3 linked regions of the Macaca fascicularis genome follow. The protein of the gene in region 2 interacts with the protein of the main gene of each other region in a biochemical or structural test. Links are inferred from orthologs where the notes say so. Each region holds a gene or a part of one and is shown on either strand. Other genes may lie near its edges.

Region 1 (5,385 bases), on a different chromosome or scaffold from region 2:
ACCATGTTGGCCAGGCTGGTCTTGAACTCCTGACCTCAGATGATCCACCCACCTTGGCCTCCCAAAGTCCTGGGATTACAGGTGTGAGCCACCACACCCAGCTAGATCTGTAGCCTTCAATGAGTTATATGGGCATCAATCAAGTAAAAAAACTCTACTCTTCTCAATCTGGTCTGAGTCACCATTATTCCCAGACCAGAATACTACAGTATTCCCGTATTTTGACTGGCTTCTCCGTTTCTGGCCTTGCCCTCTTCCTCGAGCTTCACAGTGTCCAAAATAATACTTCCCCACCACCCAGCTTTTTCGTTTGTTTGTTTTTTGTTTTAGAGACAGGGTCGTGCCATGTTGCCCCGGCTGATCTTGAACTCCTAGGCTCAAGCAATCCTCCTGCCTCGGCCTCCCAAAGTGCTGGGATGAAGGTGTGAGCCACCATACCTGGCCTGAGTGCAGTGGCCTGATCTCGGCTCACAGCAGCCTCGACCCTCCAGGCTCAAGCAATTCTCTCACCTCAGCCTCCCGAGTAGCTGGGACTACAGGCGCGTGCCACCACGCCCGGCTAATTTTTGTATTTTTTGTAGAGATGGGATTTCACTATTTTGCCGGGGCTGGTTCCCAACTCCTGGACTCAAGCGATTCGCCCGCCTCAGCCTCCCAAAGGGAAGTGCTGGGATTTCAGGCGTGTGCCACTGCTCCCACCCCAAAGTAGTATTTGTTATTATTATTATCGAGACGGAGTTTGGCTCTATTGCAGGCTGGAGCGCAGTGGTGCGACCTCGGCTCACCGCAACCTCTGCCTCCCAGGTTCAAGCGATTCTCCTGCCTCAGCCTCCCAAGTAGCTGAGATTACAGGCGAACGCCACCACGTCCAGCTCATTTTTGAATTTTTAGTGGAGACCATGTTGGCCAGGATGGTCTCGATCTCTTGACCTCGTGATCCGCCCGCCTCGGCCTCCCAAAGTGCTGGGATTACGGGCGTGAGCCACCGCGCCCGGTCTATTACTAGTTTTTTTAGGCAGTGTCTTGCTGTCGCCCAGGCTGGAGGGCAGTGGCGTGATCACGACTCACTGCAGCACCGACTTCCCGGGCTTAAGTTATCCTCCCGCCGCAGCCTCCACGCCTGGCTAGGGTTTTGCATTTTTTGTAGAGATGAGGTCTTTTTTGCCCAGGCTGGCCTCTAGCTCCTAGGCTTAAGCGACACTCTTGCTGCAGCCTCCTAAATTGTTGGGGTTACGGGCGTGAGCCACCGCGCCCAGCCTAATGGAGGAAACTGAGGCTCGGAGACAGTAGGTAATTCCCCAAGGTTCCACAGCTAATGAGTCGAGTGGCGATTTGTGGAACGAAATGAATGAAATCGATGTGGCAGTGGGCCCGGACGCGCCCGGTCGGTGGAGTGGCGTAGCCGCCGAGCGCGCAGCTCACACCCGGCGGCCGCGATTTCCGGGAGGAAGCAAGGATGCTTTGGACGCTGCGCTTAGCGCCTCCGCGGAACCCCCGCGCTGCCATTCCCGGCCGTGGCTCCGTCCTCGGCTAACGGGAAGCAGGAAGTGGCGGCGGGCGTCGCTAGCGGTGACATCACGGGGGCGACGGCGGCGAAGGGCGGGGGCGGAGGAGGAGCGAGCCGGGCCGGGGGGCGGCTGCACAGTCTCCGGGATCCCCAGGCCTGGAGGGGGGTCTGTGCGCGGCCGGCTGGCTCTGCCCCGCGTCCGGTCCCGAGCGGGCCTCCCTCGGGCCAGCCCGATGTGACCGAGCCTAGTGGAGCTTGAGCAAGGAGCGGGTCCGTCGCGGAGCCGGAGGGCGGGAGGAACATGACATCGCGGAGGTGAGGAGCCCCGAGGGGCCCGGCCCGGGCCTCGGCCCGGCCCCCGCCGCATTCGGTCAGCCCCGTCCGGAAGGGGGCGCCCCGGCCGGGCTTCGGGCTCCCGCCCCGGATCGGGATTGGGGGCCAGTTCCCTCCTCGTCCCCTGTCCCTCCTCGGCCCGGGGGCCGGCCCCACCGCGCCCCCACCCCTTGGGTCCCCATTCATTTCCTGCCTCCCTGAGTTCCGGCTGCGGCAGCCCGGGGGATGCCCGTCAGGCCTGGGGCAGGTAGAGCCGCCTAGGGAACCACGGGCGCCAGCGGCCCGGCTCAGCGCCGCATTCCTGACCCATTGCCTCATGAGAATTGCCTCATGGTGATTCCGAAATAACCCTGCTCACTTGGGGAGGCTCCTTGGGACACGAGATGGGAGTTGCGCGGGGCCGGGCCCCCAGTGGTCTAGTCGTTCTGGGTCACTGTGCCACTTGCGTGCATTTGGGGTCTTAACGAAGGACCCCTGACCCTTTTATGTGCCCCTTTGTGTCTTCTTTTTCTCCCACCCCTCACGTGCCAGAAATGGAAAAACTGACTGTATCTGCAGCCACTAGAAGTATTTCCTTCCTCTGCGATATTCGCTTTGGGAGATGGAAAGGAAGGGAGCCGCATCTCGTTATTTAATCCTTCACTGCAACCTTAACAGTCAGGTCACTTTACTGGTACCCGTTTTATGGATGAGGAAACCGAGGCCCAGAAGCAACATGCTAGTAAATGACAAGATTTGAAACTAAGGAGAATTAGTGAGTTAATGAGATCCTTTGAAAGATCAGGGTAATATTACTACTAATAGCTAACATTTGCTTAGTTCTGACGACAGCCCTCTCAGATGGCTACTATTATCCCCATTGTAAAGATGAGTAAACCGAGTTTCGGAGAGGTTAAGTAGATTGCTTAACCTCACAGCTAGTAGGTGGTGGAGACAGAATCCCTACTTTTAATCACTATGTTGCTTCTATTATTTTGTAACTATTGCTAACCACTTGTAAGCCTTAATTTTGTTGTCAAACAGTAGTGTGACTTGTTTTCAGATAATGATCCTGCTATTTTATATAATCACTCTATATACCACTCACACTTAAGACCCATTGTCTATTCTTTTCCATGGTTGTTCAATTATGGTCACTGTCTCAGACATTTAAAAAACGATTCAAGCTATTGAGGCTATTTGAATGAGATTTTTTTTTCTTTCTTTTTTTTTCTCTTTTTTTGAGACGGAGTCTCACTCTGTTAACAGCCCAGGCTGGAGTGCAGTGGCACGATCTCGGCTCACCACAACCTCCGCCTCCTAGGTTCAAGCGATTCTCCTGCCTCAACCTCCCAAGTAGCTGGGACTATCGGCATGCCACTATGCCTGGCTAATTTTTTTTTTTTTTTTTTTTTTTTTTTTTTTTTTTTTTTTTTTGAGACGGAGTCATGCTCTGTCGCCCAGGCTGGAGTGCAGTGGCCGGATCTCAGCTCACTGCAAGCTCCGCCTCCCGGGTTCACGCCATTCTCCTGCCTCAGCCTCCCAAGTAGCTGGGACTACAGGCGCCCGCCACTTCGCCCTGCTAGTTTTTTGTATTTTTTAGTAGAGACGGGGTTTCACCGTGTTAGCCAGGATGGTCTCCATCTCCTGACCTCGTGATTCGCCCGTCTCGGCCTCCCAAAGTGCTGGGATTACAGGCTTGAGCCACTGCGCCCGGCCTAATTTTTTTTTTTGAAACAGAGTCTCGCTCTCTTGCCCAGGCTGGAGTGCCGTGGCGCAATCTCGGCTCACTACAAGCTCCGCCTTCTGGGTTCAAGCCATCCTCCTGCCTCAGCCTCTCAAGTAGCTGGGACTACAGGTGCCCGCCACGACGTCTGGCGAATGTTTTGTATTTTTAGTAGAGACGGGGTTTCACCATGTTAGCCGGGATGGTCTCGATCTCCTGACCTTGTGATCCGCCCGCCTCGGCCTCCCAAAGTGCTGGAATTACAAGCATGAGCCACCGTGCCCGGCCGAGTTTTGTATTTTTAGTAGAGACGGGGTTTCACTATGTTGGCCAGATTGGTCTTAAACTCCTGACCTCGAGATCCGCCTGCCTCGGCCTCCCAAAGTGCTGGAATTACAGGCGTGAGCCACCGCACCCGGCCTGAATGAGATTTTTCAAAATATTAGGAATGTCTCCTCCAAACAGACCTGGCATGTTATTCTTACATGGATCTGGAATTTAAAAAGGGGAGAAAAAAGAAAACAGAACTCGTAGGAAGTGAGTGACTTGGACAGGTCTGTTGGCAAGTGCTTGCGGATCTGGGTAATATATAACTGCATTTCAACGGAACAGTGTATAGCCTCAAATGTTCTAATTCTTTAGGGAGCTTTTAAATAAACAGTTGTCTATTCTTTAATCTGTCTAATAGTCATTGAGCCTTTTGTTCCTGGTGTCTGCTCTTCCAGACAAGTAAGGATTTGCTGCTTTAGGGGGCTGAGGGTTGGGAAAAGATCTGTGTAGTATTAGACCCTACATTGTCCAGTTTGTTAGTTTAGAAGCATGGAAGTGTGGGCATAGTCAAAGCAGCAAGTGGTAAAGATGACAGTTTGAAATGGAGTTGTTCCTTTTCCCCTCCAGCCCTGGTATTGTGTACCACCCAAAAAGCCAGATTATGAACATAATACACAGAATTTTGAATGATTTATCATTTTTTAGATTATAAGTCTGTTTTATTAACCAGCCTTACTGAGCTATAAATGACATGCAATTAAATGCATATATTTAAATGTACAATTTGATCAGTTTTGACATACATATACACTTGGGAAACCACCACCACAGTCAAGATAATGAACACATCTATTGTCCCTCGTAATTTTGCCTCATGTTTTTTGTAATCCCTCGTTTGTTCTTAGCCACTGTTCTGCTTTCTGTCACTATATATTAGTTTATATCTCCTAAAATTTTTTTGTTTTTTTAAAATTTTTAAATTGTTTGAATAGAGATGGGGTCTCACTGTGTTGCCCAGGGCAGTCTCAAACCCCTGGGTTCAAGCGATCCTCTCACCTTGGCCTACTGCAGTGTTGGGATTATAGGCGTGAGACACCCTGCCCAGCCCTAGAATTTTATTATTATTGTTATTATTATGTTTTTTTGAGATAGAGTCTCGCTTTGTTGCCCAGGCTGGAGTGCAGTGGTGCGATCACTGCAGCCTTGTTTTCCTAGGCTCAATCCATCCTTCCTCCTCAGCTTGCCGATTACTGGGACTACAAGTGTGCACCACCACACTCGGCTAATTTTTGAATTTTTTTGTAGAGACAGAGTTTTGCCAGGTTGGCTAGACTGGTCTCAAACTCCTGGGCTCAAACGATCTTCCTGCCTTGGCCTCCCAAAGTGCTGGGATTACAGGCATGATCCACTGTGTCTGGCCTTCAAATTACTTTAACCTAGTATTAATTCATTCAACAGGAAGTTAATGAGCCAGGCAGGATAAAGCAGTAAGATAGGAAAATATTGCTAGTTTCTTTCTTTCTTTCTTTCTTTTCTCTTTTTTTTTTTTTGAGACGGAGTTTCACTCTTG
Region 2 (5,559 bases):
ACTCGGGAGGCTGAGGCAGGAGAATTGTTTGAACCTGGGAGGCGGAGGTTGCAGTGAGCCAAGATCGTGCCACTGCACTCCAGCCTAGGCGACAGAGCAAGATCCGTCAAAAAGCAAGCAAACAAACAAACAAAAAAACTCACGTCCTCAGCAGACTCCTCCCTATGCACCTCCCACTCCCCTCAACTCATCACACACTCAGTTATTTTAAGGGCTCTCTCCCTGGCTCAGTTGTGAACTCCACAAGGAAATGGGTCATGTTTATTTTGCTCACTGAAAAATCCCCCTACTACTTATTGCTTGTTGATTCTCCCACTCAACAAATATTTATTAAGCAACAGATATGTCAGCCACTGGGTTTAAGCAGTGAAACAAGACCGAAAAGATTTTCACTTTCGGGGGAGGGGAGAAGACACAGAAAACGTTGAATAAGAATTTCAAGGCCAATCATGGTGGTGCATGCCTGTAATCCTAGCACCTTGGGAGGCCAAGGCAGGAGAATTGCTTGAGGCCAGGAGTTCAAGGCTGCAGTAAGCTAGGATTGCACCACTGCATTCCTGCCTGGGTGACAGCAAGATATTGTCAAAAGGAAAAAAAAGAAAAGAGAACATAGAATTGCAGGTAGAGAGGTAAGCATGCTATGAAAATGAAAGAGAAGGGGCTGGGCACAGTGGCTCAGGCCTGTCCCAGCACTTTGGGAGGCCAAGGCCGGTGGATCACCTGAGGTCAGGAGTTCGAGACCAAATACAAAAATTAGCCGGGTGTGGTGGTGCATGCCTGTAATCCCAGTTACTTGAGAGGTTGAGGCAAGAGAATCACTTGAACCCAGGCAGGGGAGGTTGCAGTGAACTGAGATCTGGCCATTGCACTCCAGCCTGGGCAACAGAGCAAAACTCCATGTAAAAAAAAAAGAGAGAGAGAGAGAGAAGGGAACAGGGAACTGGTGGGGAGGATTTGCAAAAGTGTGGTTAGGGATGGCTCCTTGGAGCAGAGATGAAGCCATCCTGCAGTGTTACAGGCAAGGGAGACGCTGGGGTAAAGGCCTGGAGGCAGGAATAGGTTTGGCCTGTTGCATGAACAGTGGGTCCAGCTCCTAGCAAACTATTTAATAAAAGAAGAATGAATGCCTTGGGTCTAGGGTTGTGCTGGGCGCTTTCTTAAGTTTTCTTTCCCGGGTACCTCCCCAGATCTGGCCTGCAGGTATTATCAAACCCATTACACAAGTGAAACTGGCCCAGACACAGTAAAGTAGCTGGCCCAAGACCATACAGGAGTGAGGGGTGGAGGAACCCTCTTCCCATTGAGTTCTGGCTTTCCTATACTGAGTAGGTGGAACTGCTGTCCCGCCTTGTTGGTGAATGTCGTTGCTAGACGTTCAGACACATACAGGCTGGTCTGCTGAAAATCTGAGATGCTGAAAATCTGAGATGTCCACCTGCGCCCTATTCGAGGTCTCCGGAGTCGTCTTTGGCCTCTTCTTTGCTCTTTCAGAAGCGTCTGCACATTTTTCCAGGTGTCATTTCTTTAACTTGAACACAGGGAGCGCACTGGGCGCGCGGGCACGTGGCTGTCCCCAGGGGCCTGGCTTGGGTCTCGCCCCTGGGCGGGGGCGCACGCGCGGGCGGGACATCTGGGGGCGCCCACGCGCTCTGGGACGAGTGTCGCTGGCCAGGCCCGGACTGGGGAAAGGCGAGTGAGACACTACTCGCCTGGGCTGCAAAATTTAAGGGAGTGAAAAAAAGAAAGAAAGAAAGAAACGAAAACCACCTCGAGTCACCAAAATAAACATTTTAATGCAGTGTTAAAAAAAAAAAATCAACAGGAATCCTCCAAAGCCCACTATGAACAAAATAGCAAAACGGTAGAGAAAGGACCTGTGCTGCTGGGTAGGGCCTGTGGGGCGCCTCCGGGGGTCTGAAACTGGAGGAGACTCGGGGCTGTAGGGCCCGCGGATCTGGGGCGCCCCCTCGGTCCCGGCGCGCCCAGGGCCTCCAGCGCGGGGCCCGGCACAGGAGGCGGGGAGGCAGGCGGGGAGGCGGGCGGGGCGGGGCCGGGCGGCACCTCCCTCTCCTGCCTGCTTTCCCTCCCTCTCCTGGGCCTCTCCCGGGCGCAGAGTCCCTTCCTAGGCCAGATCCGCGCCGCCTTTTCCCGCGGCCCGCACCGGGCCCAGCTGACGGGCCGCGTTGTTTACGGGCCCGAGCAGCCCTCGCTCCCGCCGCCCGCCCGCCACCCGCCAGCCCAGGTGCCCGCCCGCCCGTCAGCTTGTCCGTTGGTCCGCGCGTCCCTCTGTCCCGGAGCCCGCAGGTCGCGACCCAGAGCGCGCGGGGCCGAGAGCCGAGAGACAGTCTGGGGCGCAGCGCCGAGCTCCCCGCCCCGACATCGTGGGACGGGGCCCGGGCCGCAGCGGCCGGGGGTCGGGGCCGCCACCGCCAGGGCCTCCGCTCCCTATTTGTAGCGGGCGAAGCCGCGCGCCTCCTTCCCGGGGCTGTCTCTAGGGCCCTCCCGGGCAGCGGGGCTGCGGCCCGCGGGTCGCCGGCGTGGAAGAGAAGGACGCGCGGCCCCCAGCGCCTCTCGGACGGCCGCCTCAGAGCATGACCCCCGCGGGCCAGCGCCGCGCGCTCTGATCCGAGGAGACCCCGCGCTCCCGCAGCCATGGGCACCGGGGGCCGGCGGGGGACAGCTGCCGCGCCGCTGCTGGTGGCGGTGGCCGCGCTGCTACTGGGCGCCGCGGGCCACCTGTACCCCGGAGAGGGTGAGTCTGGGGGCGCGGGCGTGGACGGGGAGCGCCGCGATGGGGAGAGGACCCCACCCGAGCCAAAATCGAGCCCCGGCTTGTGGACTGAGAACCCTCCCCGGGGGCGGGGGGCGGTGGCCGGGACTGTAGCTCCTGCCTCGCGTGGTGGGGGTGTGGGCGGGAAGCCGCTGACCTTGGCCTTTGCCCGCCCGGGCTCGCGCCTCCGCGCCCCGCGTGCCCGACCTGAGCCCGAGGAACCTTGCCCCAGTGCCCGCCCCGCCGCGGGCGCCTCTCTGGAGCGCGCCTCCGACCCGTGCCCCAGCCCCTCCGAGCCCAAGTCGCTCCGGAGACACGACATGCGTCGTCTTTGGGTCGCGGCCGGGAAGTGGGGTCACTGGGTCTGGAGAGCCCCGGACAGCCAAGTCCCCCGAGCGCATATGGTGTAGGTAGAGCCAATCGCCCCGCGTGCCTCACCGGTGGGTGACGCTGCCTGGGGTCGGGGACTGCAGAAACCCCCTCTACCCAGCTACCTTGGATTTAGGCCCGTGGCCACCCCGGACTCTAGGTCCACGTTTACCCTTTTGGGTTCTGTTTCCAGATGTCTGGAGGCAAATTCTAAAGCCTTAGCAACAGCAGCAATTGTAGCAGAAGTAGTGGCGGTTTTTTACCCTATTTATTGTAATTAGTATCACCGCACGCCACAGGCTGGTCTATCTTATCTCTCTGGACTGTCACAGTGGCCCCGGGAGGCGGATACAGTTCTGTACCCATTTCACAGAGGAGTAAACTAAGGCTCAGGTAGGATGCATAACTCCCTTGCCCTAAAGTCAGTGCCAGAGCCAGGACTTGAACCTCTCTGTGTCCCATTCTGCACAAGAATCTGGACTACTGTCCCTTGTCTGCTGTCTCCTTGACTCCTCCTCTCCCCTCAGCCCTGCCCTTCATGAAGGAGCCTTTGACCTTGAGTGAGCCTTTCCTTCCCCCTGACCCCATGGGCCCCTCTCCCACGTGTGGGTAGCATCTTCCTTGGGCTTGACAGCAGGCACCTTTGGGGTTGTAAGATAAAGATGGCGCAATCATTTAAGACAATATAGCCTGAGTGTCCCACTGTGGGGTCTGAGGCCCTGCTTTAAACATATCTGTTGGGTTACTGTTTCAGATTTCTCCATAAAAGGAAATCAGTGGTAATGAGGAAGGGGTCAGGGAGGGAAGGAATTGAAGCTCCTAAATTTATTGATGGGGAACCGGGTACATGTAAAATCAGAGGTGCTAGAGTGGACCAACCGGGTGTGCTGAGTCGACTCTGTGAATTACATAATGTTTAAAAGCCCTGCGGCCACCCCGCCCCCAGGTGCTTGGTAGACAGTAGGTGCTCAATGAAGGGTGGCGTTTAATTTGGGTTGTTGTTAAGAAAATCCGGCTGGCTGTTGTGACTCACGCCTGTAATCCCAGCACTTTGGGAGGCTGAGGCGGGCGGATCAGGAGGTCAGGAGATCGAGACCATACTAGCCAACATAGTGAAACTCCCTTCTCTGCTCAAAATACAAAAATTAGCGGGATGTGGTGGTATGCACCTGTAATCCCAGCTACTTGGGAGGCTGAGGCAGGATAATTGCTTGAACTGGGGAGGAGGAGGTTGCAGTGAGCTGAGATGGCACCTCTGCACTCCAGCCTGGCGACAGAGTGAGAGTTTGTCTTAAAAAAAAAATCCAAGACGAGTGGTTTAGAACTATGCCAGATTCTGTGTGTGCGTTTGTGTGGTTCCCTGCTCTTCTGTTCCTTGTAGCTTTGGTAATTAATCGTGGATCTGTGCCTGGACTTTCAGGGTCAGTAAATAGATTTACCATTTCTTTTCACATTTATGGCTTCCATATGGGCAGGGGTTTATGGTTTGTTGTTGATGTTGTTCACCACTGTATTTTTAGACCCCAGAACGGTGCCTGGCACATAGTAGGTGTTCAGTAAATATTTGTTCTGCAGTGGGGCACAGAAACCCTGGGTGTACTGGGCTCCTTTATCATCTTAAGAAGTTCTTTATTCTCTGCGTAATACCTTCCTAAGAATTGTAAGAGCAAGCTCTCAGCAGGTGCTGTTCTATTCGCTTTGCATATATAATCTCAGTTAATCCTCACGGCAAAACCCCACACGAGGTGTGATTTAATCGTCCCTTTTCACAAGTGAGAAAACTTCGTTTGAGGCCAGCAGGCAGCAGGGCTGAGATTGGAATCTAGCTAGTGTGGCTGCAGAGCAATGGTTTCTTAACAAATCTTTGTTCTTTTGAGTCTGAGCCTCCATACCCCCCATGTTTGGGGTAATGGTGAACAAAATCCTATCAAATAAATGGGCTGTGATGCCTCTTGAAGGCGTGGGGAGGGGCAAAGAGCTTTTCAGATCATTAGATCATTAATCTCTAATGTCAACCAATGTGGCTTTTTTTTTTTTTTTTTTGAGACGGAGTCTTGCTCTGTCACCCAGGCTGGAGTGCAGTGGCACGATCTCGGCTCACTGCAACCTCCACCTCCCAGGTTCAAGGGATTCTCCTGCCTCAGCCTCCCCAGTAGCTGGGATTACAGGTGTGTTTCACAACACCGGCTAATTTTTTATATTTTTAGTAGAGACAGGGTTTCACCGTGTTAGCCAGGACGGTCTCAATCTCCTGACCTCATGATCCACCCGCCTCAGCCTCCCAAAGTGCTTGGATTACAGGCATGAGCCACTCCGCCCGGCCTTTTTTTTTTTTTTTTTTTGAGACAGGGTCTCACTCTGTCACCCAGGCTGGAATGCAGTGACACGATCTTTACTCACTGCCCACTGCAACCTCCACC
Region 3 (4,836 bases), on a different chromosome or scaffold from region 2:
CGGGGGACGGTGCTGCTATGGAAGATGCTGTGAAGGAGGCGTGTGCGTATGTGCATGCGTGCGTGTGTACGTGTCCGCAGCGGGTGCTGGAGGATGGAGTGTGTTTTTTTCCCTGCCTTTACATGTAATTCAGTTGACAAGAACTATTCCATGATGTGGTGCGTGCAGGCTTCAGTGTGAAAGGTGAGTATGTACGTACCGTCTCGCTGTGCATCACGGCCCCTCCCACAGTACACAGCACCATCGTTTCTGGCAACCAAGTTTGATGTCATTAGAAAGCTTGCATCTCGGCCGGGCACGGTGGCTCATGCCTGTAATCCCAGCACTTTGGGAGGCCAAGGCGGGCAGATCACGAGGTCAGGAGATTGAGACTGTCGTGGCTAGCATGGTGAAACCCCGTCTCTACTGAAAATACAGAAAAATTGGCCAGGCGTGGTGGCAGGCGCCTGTAGTCCCAACTACTCAGGAGGCTGAGGCAGGAGAATGGCGTGAACCCGGGAGGCAGAGCTCGCAGTGAGCTGAGATTGCGCCACTGCGCTCCAGCCTGGGCGACAGAGCGAGACTCTGTCTCAAAAAAAAAAAAAAAAAAGCTTCCATCTCTGGGCCCTCTTTGGTCATCCTCCCCTTTCAAGTTCTTTCTCCTTTGTTTCTTGTTGTAGTCTTTTATTTACAAGAATTGAAATTTATTAATTTAAGGGCAAAATCATTTGCTGAGAGTATTATGGACTCATTCCTTAACATCTGGTTGATGCCAAATTCAAAAGAAGTATATAAAAATAAGTATTGACCTGAATTCCTCATGCTGTGTATCTTAAGACCTCTTATGAATTTGGTAGTACATAAAAGAGAGATTTAAATTTAGTTTCCTTCCTGACCTCGTCTCTATTCATAATGTTTAAAGAATAGAAAGTTGAACAAATCTTGCATTTGGTTGTAAAGCTACCATGAATTTCCCACCTGTTGCATCTCACATGTGATACTTTGCCCCTGCAGAGAGGTGCTTGGAAGACCACGAGCTGGTGGTCCAAGTGGAGAGTACCATGGCCGGTGAGAGTAAATTTCTATTCCGGAAGAATTATGCAAAATACGAGTTCTTTAAAAATCCCATGGTGAGTCTTACGTCTTCAGGTTTGGGGTTTGGGACTCTTGACATCTGGAAGTTTATACTTGGGTTTCATAGTATCAGATTAGAAAGTGACTGAGAGGCACGACGTAGCATATCGGTTTGAGAGTCAGAGTTGCAGTTTAATGAAGCAATCCTTGCTTGAAACCCAGTCTCGTGCTTCACTAAATGTGCCTGGGACTGGCTGAAGATAGAGGTCTCCTTCTTCAAATAGACACAGTGTAAAGGGGGTTAGTCTCTAAGACAGGAGCTGGGGGAGACTGGGCGTTTTCTGTTATTTTGAAAGTTCTCAGTTAAACTGATCAAACACTTAGCAGAAGAAAAACTCATTATTCTCTGCACACAGCAAACACATTTTGTGATCATACGTGGAAGAATGACTAGAGAAATCAGTGCGATTGGTGGTGTCTTGAGCTGGTCACCTTGATCTCTCTTCCCCTTTCTTTCTTTGGGAAAGAAGGCACTTGTCCTGTGAGAGGCCGGGATAGGGAGGGCACCTCCTAGCTCCTGGGGTACTTACTGTCGTCCTGAGTCATGGGGCAGAGCTGTGTCAGCTGGGGAGAAGACCCAGGGTCATTTCTGACTCTGATAATTTAGCTGCTTTTTTATTCCAGAGTGAGAAATTTGAAGACTGTTTTTGGGGAATGCAACAGAAAAGGCTTTTCTCGTGACTGGGCTTACCTTTTAGTTTCAGGAATTCTTTATCTCACTCTTTGCCATGGAGTATGCTGTGAGACATGCATCCCTTAGTAAACATAGGTGGTATTCCATACTCGTACCCAACATTTCAGGAAATGAAATACAACCTTTTGAAGGAGCTATTTCTTCTGTGTGATAGGAGAATAAAAAGGACTGCCATTTTAAATACAGGTGTACATAATTATATTGGTAGGAATAGTTTTAAAATTTACTTATCTATATGACATACCTTCCCTCACTTTGAAACTAACCTTTCACGTATTTGTTTTTTCCCATTTTCTTAGAATTTCTTCCCAGAACAGATGGTTACTTGGTGCCAGCAGTCAAATGGCAGTCAAAGCCAGCTTTTGCAGGTACTGGGCCAAAATAGACCTCTGCTGAAATAGACTTTCTGAATAGAAATCCTCTTGGAACTGAATGGCAACATTGTAAAAAACCTGAAGAGATTGCATCTTTCATCATTTATAACTTTGGCCCTTAAGGGGGTTTAGAGTAACCAGAAATTAAAAAGTTTACTTGGAAAATCTGTGTGTAGCTGGATTCCTGCTGAGCCAAACAGGCACTTACACACAGAATGCCCTTGCTCTGACTTAGAAGAGTCCAGTGATGCCACTGCTGAGTGTGGCCCGGGGGGTGCATGGAGAAACCCCAGTTTCAGGGCTCCCCAGCTCCTTTCTGAGCAGGGGTCCCAGGTCAGGCCACCGCCCAGCTGCTTGGAAATCTCTGCAGAAGCGCTGAGTCTATAGTAAAAGATGATTGGGTTACCACGACAGACTTTTACAAGTAACTTGCCATACATTACAAATAAAGAAACCTGCTTTAATTGTCCTAAAGTCTGTTCTGAGAAAATCTGGTCTCTCCCCACCTCCTCTTCCAGTGGAGGGAGCCACCAGGGCCTCTGTGCTCAGCTGTCACACACGCTCCTCCAGGGAAGCTGGGAGCGGGGAATGGGAATGTTACAGCTACACCCTAAAAATATGCCTGTGTACATGTCAAAAGTGAAAGAATGAATCATTTCCTAAGGCCACCAACAATATCCAAGTGACATATTACATGTAACAGAAACTACTAAAATATAGTTCCTACAGAATTCTGCTCATAAGCCCTTCTTTTGCTATGTTGTTATCACCAAATTTGTTTCAGCATCTAAAAGATAAGAGCTTCAGAGCTCTGTTCCGGTGGTGTCTTCAGAAGCCCTTCTGACCATAGCATGTGTCTGTTCTGGTGAGAGGTGTCAGTGCTAAGGTACCACCTGTACACCGTGAACAGTGAAATGGCACATTCTGTTTTAACTTGCCTTGACTTTGGGAGGACTCATGTGCTTTGTGAAGATATGCTGTGGTCTCTTGAGACTCAGGAAGGACTGACCCAGGTGCACTAGGGCTCTGTCCGACGTGCCTTTCCCACCTGGGGGAAAAGAGCTTTGTCCCCTCCCAGTCTAGTAGCAAGACCTGCCAACATCACCTCCCCAACTTTGCTCCGTGACCTGGCCCTCGGCCTGTCTTCCCTTTGATGAAAAGCATAGTTTCTTGTTTTGTTTTGTTTTGTTTTGATAAAGGCTTTATTCTTAAGGCTGCCTGTGGGAAAAGTTAAGTGGAACAGGGGGACATCACCAGGATGTCCTGCACCTGGGTTCATCACTTGCAGACAAATGACACCTTTTATGTGACCCTTGACTGGAGGGGTGCCTGGGTAAAAGTGGCCACTACATGCTCACTCTCAGTCCCCAGAGCCCCACTCACTCAGTCATGGCACTTGCTCTTGCCCTCAGTCTGATATCAGACTGGATCCTTCAGTGCACTCTCTTACAGGGAAATTCGTGACTTGTGTTATCACCAGTGTTAGAAAGGTCCATTTGCTTGCATGTGTTTAAATACGAATTATGTTCTATGCAGCACCAATTGAGATGGGATTTTAAGACTTTGGAAAGGAGAACACGCTCAGTTTGATCAAAAAAAGGAGTCTTTTAATAATTCAGAAAATGTCAGTTATGCTAATAACATGTCTGCTTTAATTATTTTAGATTAGCATTATGTAATTTTTAAAATTTGTTCTTCAACAGAATTTTCTGAACTCCAGTAGCTGTCCTGAAATTCAAGGGTTTTTGCATGTGAAAGAGCTGGGAAAGAAATCATGGAAAAAGCTGTATGTGTGTTTGCGGAGATCTGGCCTTTATTGCTCCACCAAGGGAACTTCAAAGGTGAGCTTTAAAACCTGCCACCACCAGCCCTGATTCTGCCCCCGTCACTGCCCCCGGGAGTCCTCAGAGTAAACCTAGGCTTCATTTTTAAATGCACCTTAGACTCCTCCAGGCTCAGGACAACTTCTTAATAAGCTAATTGTGCAACAGCTAAACTTGGAGTCACAGGTTTCCTGGTCTCCCTCAGAAACTAGGTAATAAATAATACATACCTAAGAACCCCACCTGCCCAGCCCCACCCCCACTGTGGGTTGGTAGCAGACCTCCCTGGCTGCCCTATCACTTCAGAGACTGGCCTAGTTCCCATAAGTTGGGATTTAAGCTAGCTGTAAAGATGTTTGATAGATGATTGCCACCCTAATGCCAGTGTAACTTTATGTATCAGATATTTTATGAAATAAATTTCAGGTTTGCATGTATCCGTAGTGAGAAGAAGGTGGGAGATGGAAAACAGCTGCAGGCCCTCAAAAGACAGCTGGTAGCACTGAGGGCTTAGGCTGGAGGCTCCTTCGCTCCCATGTACACTCTTGCCTGCTCTCTTCTCGTGCTGTCCACATACACCCTGTGGCAGGAGCCATGTCCATTCAACGTGGCTGAGCACTTACCATCTGAGGGCTACGGTCTCTTTTACTCTGGCCAGCAAAGGGGAAAGGGAGCTGGCGGGACCCTGGCACAGGTGTTGAGCATCAGGCCAACTCTGGGAAGTCAGCGGCTGCTGACGCATGGGCCAGAGAGAAGGGGGGTCATCTGCAGAGAGGGGCTTTGGTCTGACACAGGGCATGGTAGCGTCCTGACCTCTCAGCTGTGCTGTGTG

What was found.
Region 1: the proteins of INSR (region 2) and PTPN11 form a complex in vitro, tested with the Homo sapiens proteins (2 studies listed by BioGRID). The link is inferred for Macaca fascicularis from reciprocal best matches to the Homo sapiens genes INSR and PTPN11.
Region 3: the proteins of INSR (region 2) and GRB10 form a complex in vitro, tested with the Homo sapiens proteins (5 studies listed by BioGRID and IntAct). The link is inferred for Macaca fascicularis from reciprocal best matches to the Homo sapiens genes INSR and GRB10.

What each region holds. Positions count from the first base shown.
Region 1 is NC_088385.1:119,339,981-119,345,365, forward strand, and holds the start of PTPN11 (tyrosine-protein phosphatase non-receptor type 11), read left to right. Parts: upstream 1-1,601; 5' UTR 1,602-1,808; coding exon 1,809-1,822; intron 1,823-5,385. UniProt on the Homo sapiens protein: Acts downstream of various receptor and cytoplasmic protein tyrosine kinases to participate in the signal transduction from the cell surface to the nucleus. Positively regulates MAPK signal transduction pathway. Dephosphorylates GAB1, ARHGAP35 and EGFR.
Region 2 is NC_088393.1:8,022,109-8,027,667, reverse strand, and holds the start of INSR (insulin receptor), read left to right. Parts: upstream 1-2,109; 5' UTR 2,110-2,652; coding exon 2,653-2,752; intron 2,753-5,559. UniProt on the Homo sapiens protein: Receptor tyrosine kinase which mediates the pleiotropic actions of insulin.
Region 3 is NC_088377.1:79,813,071-79,817,906, forward strand, and holds part of GRB10 (growth factor receptor-bound protein 10), read left to right. Parts: intron 1-993; coding exon 994-1,109; intron 1,110-2,106; coding exon 2,107-2,175; intron 2,176-3,884; coding exon 3,885-4,022; intron 4,023-4,836.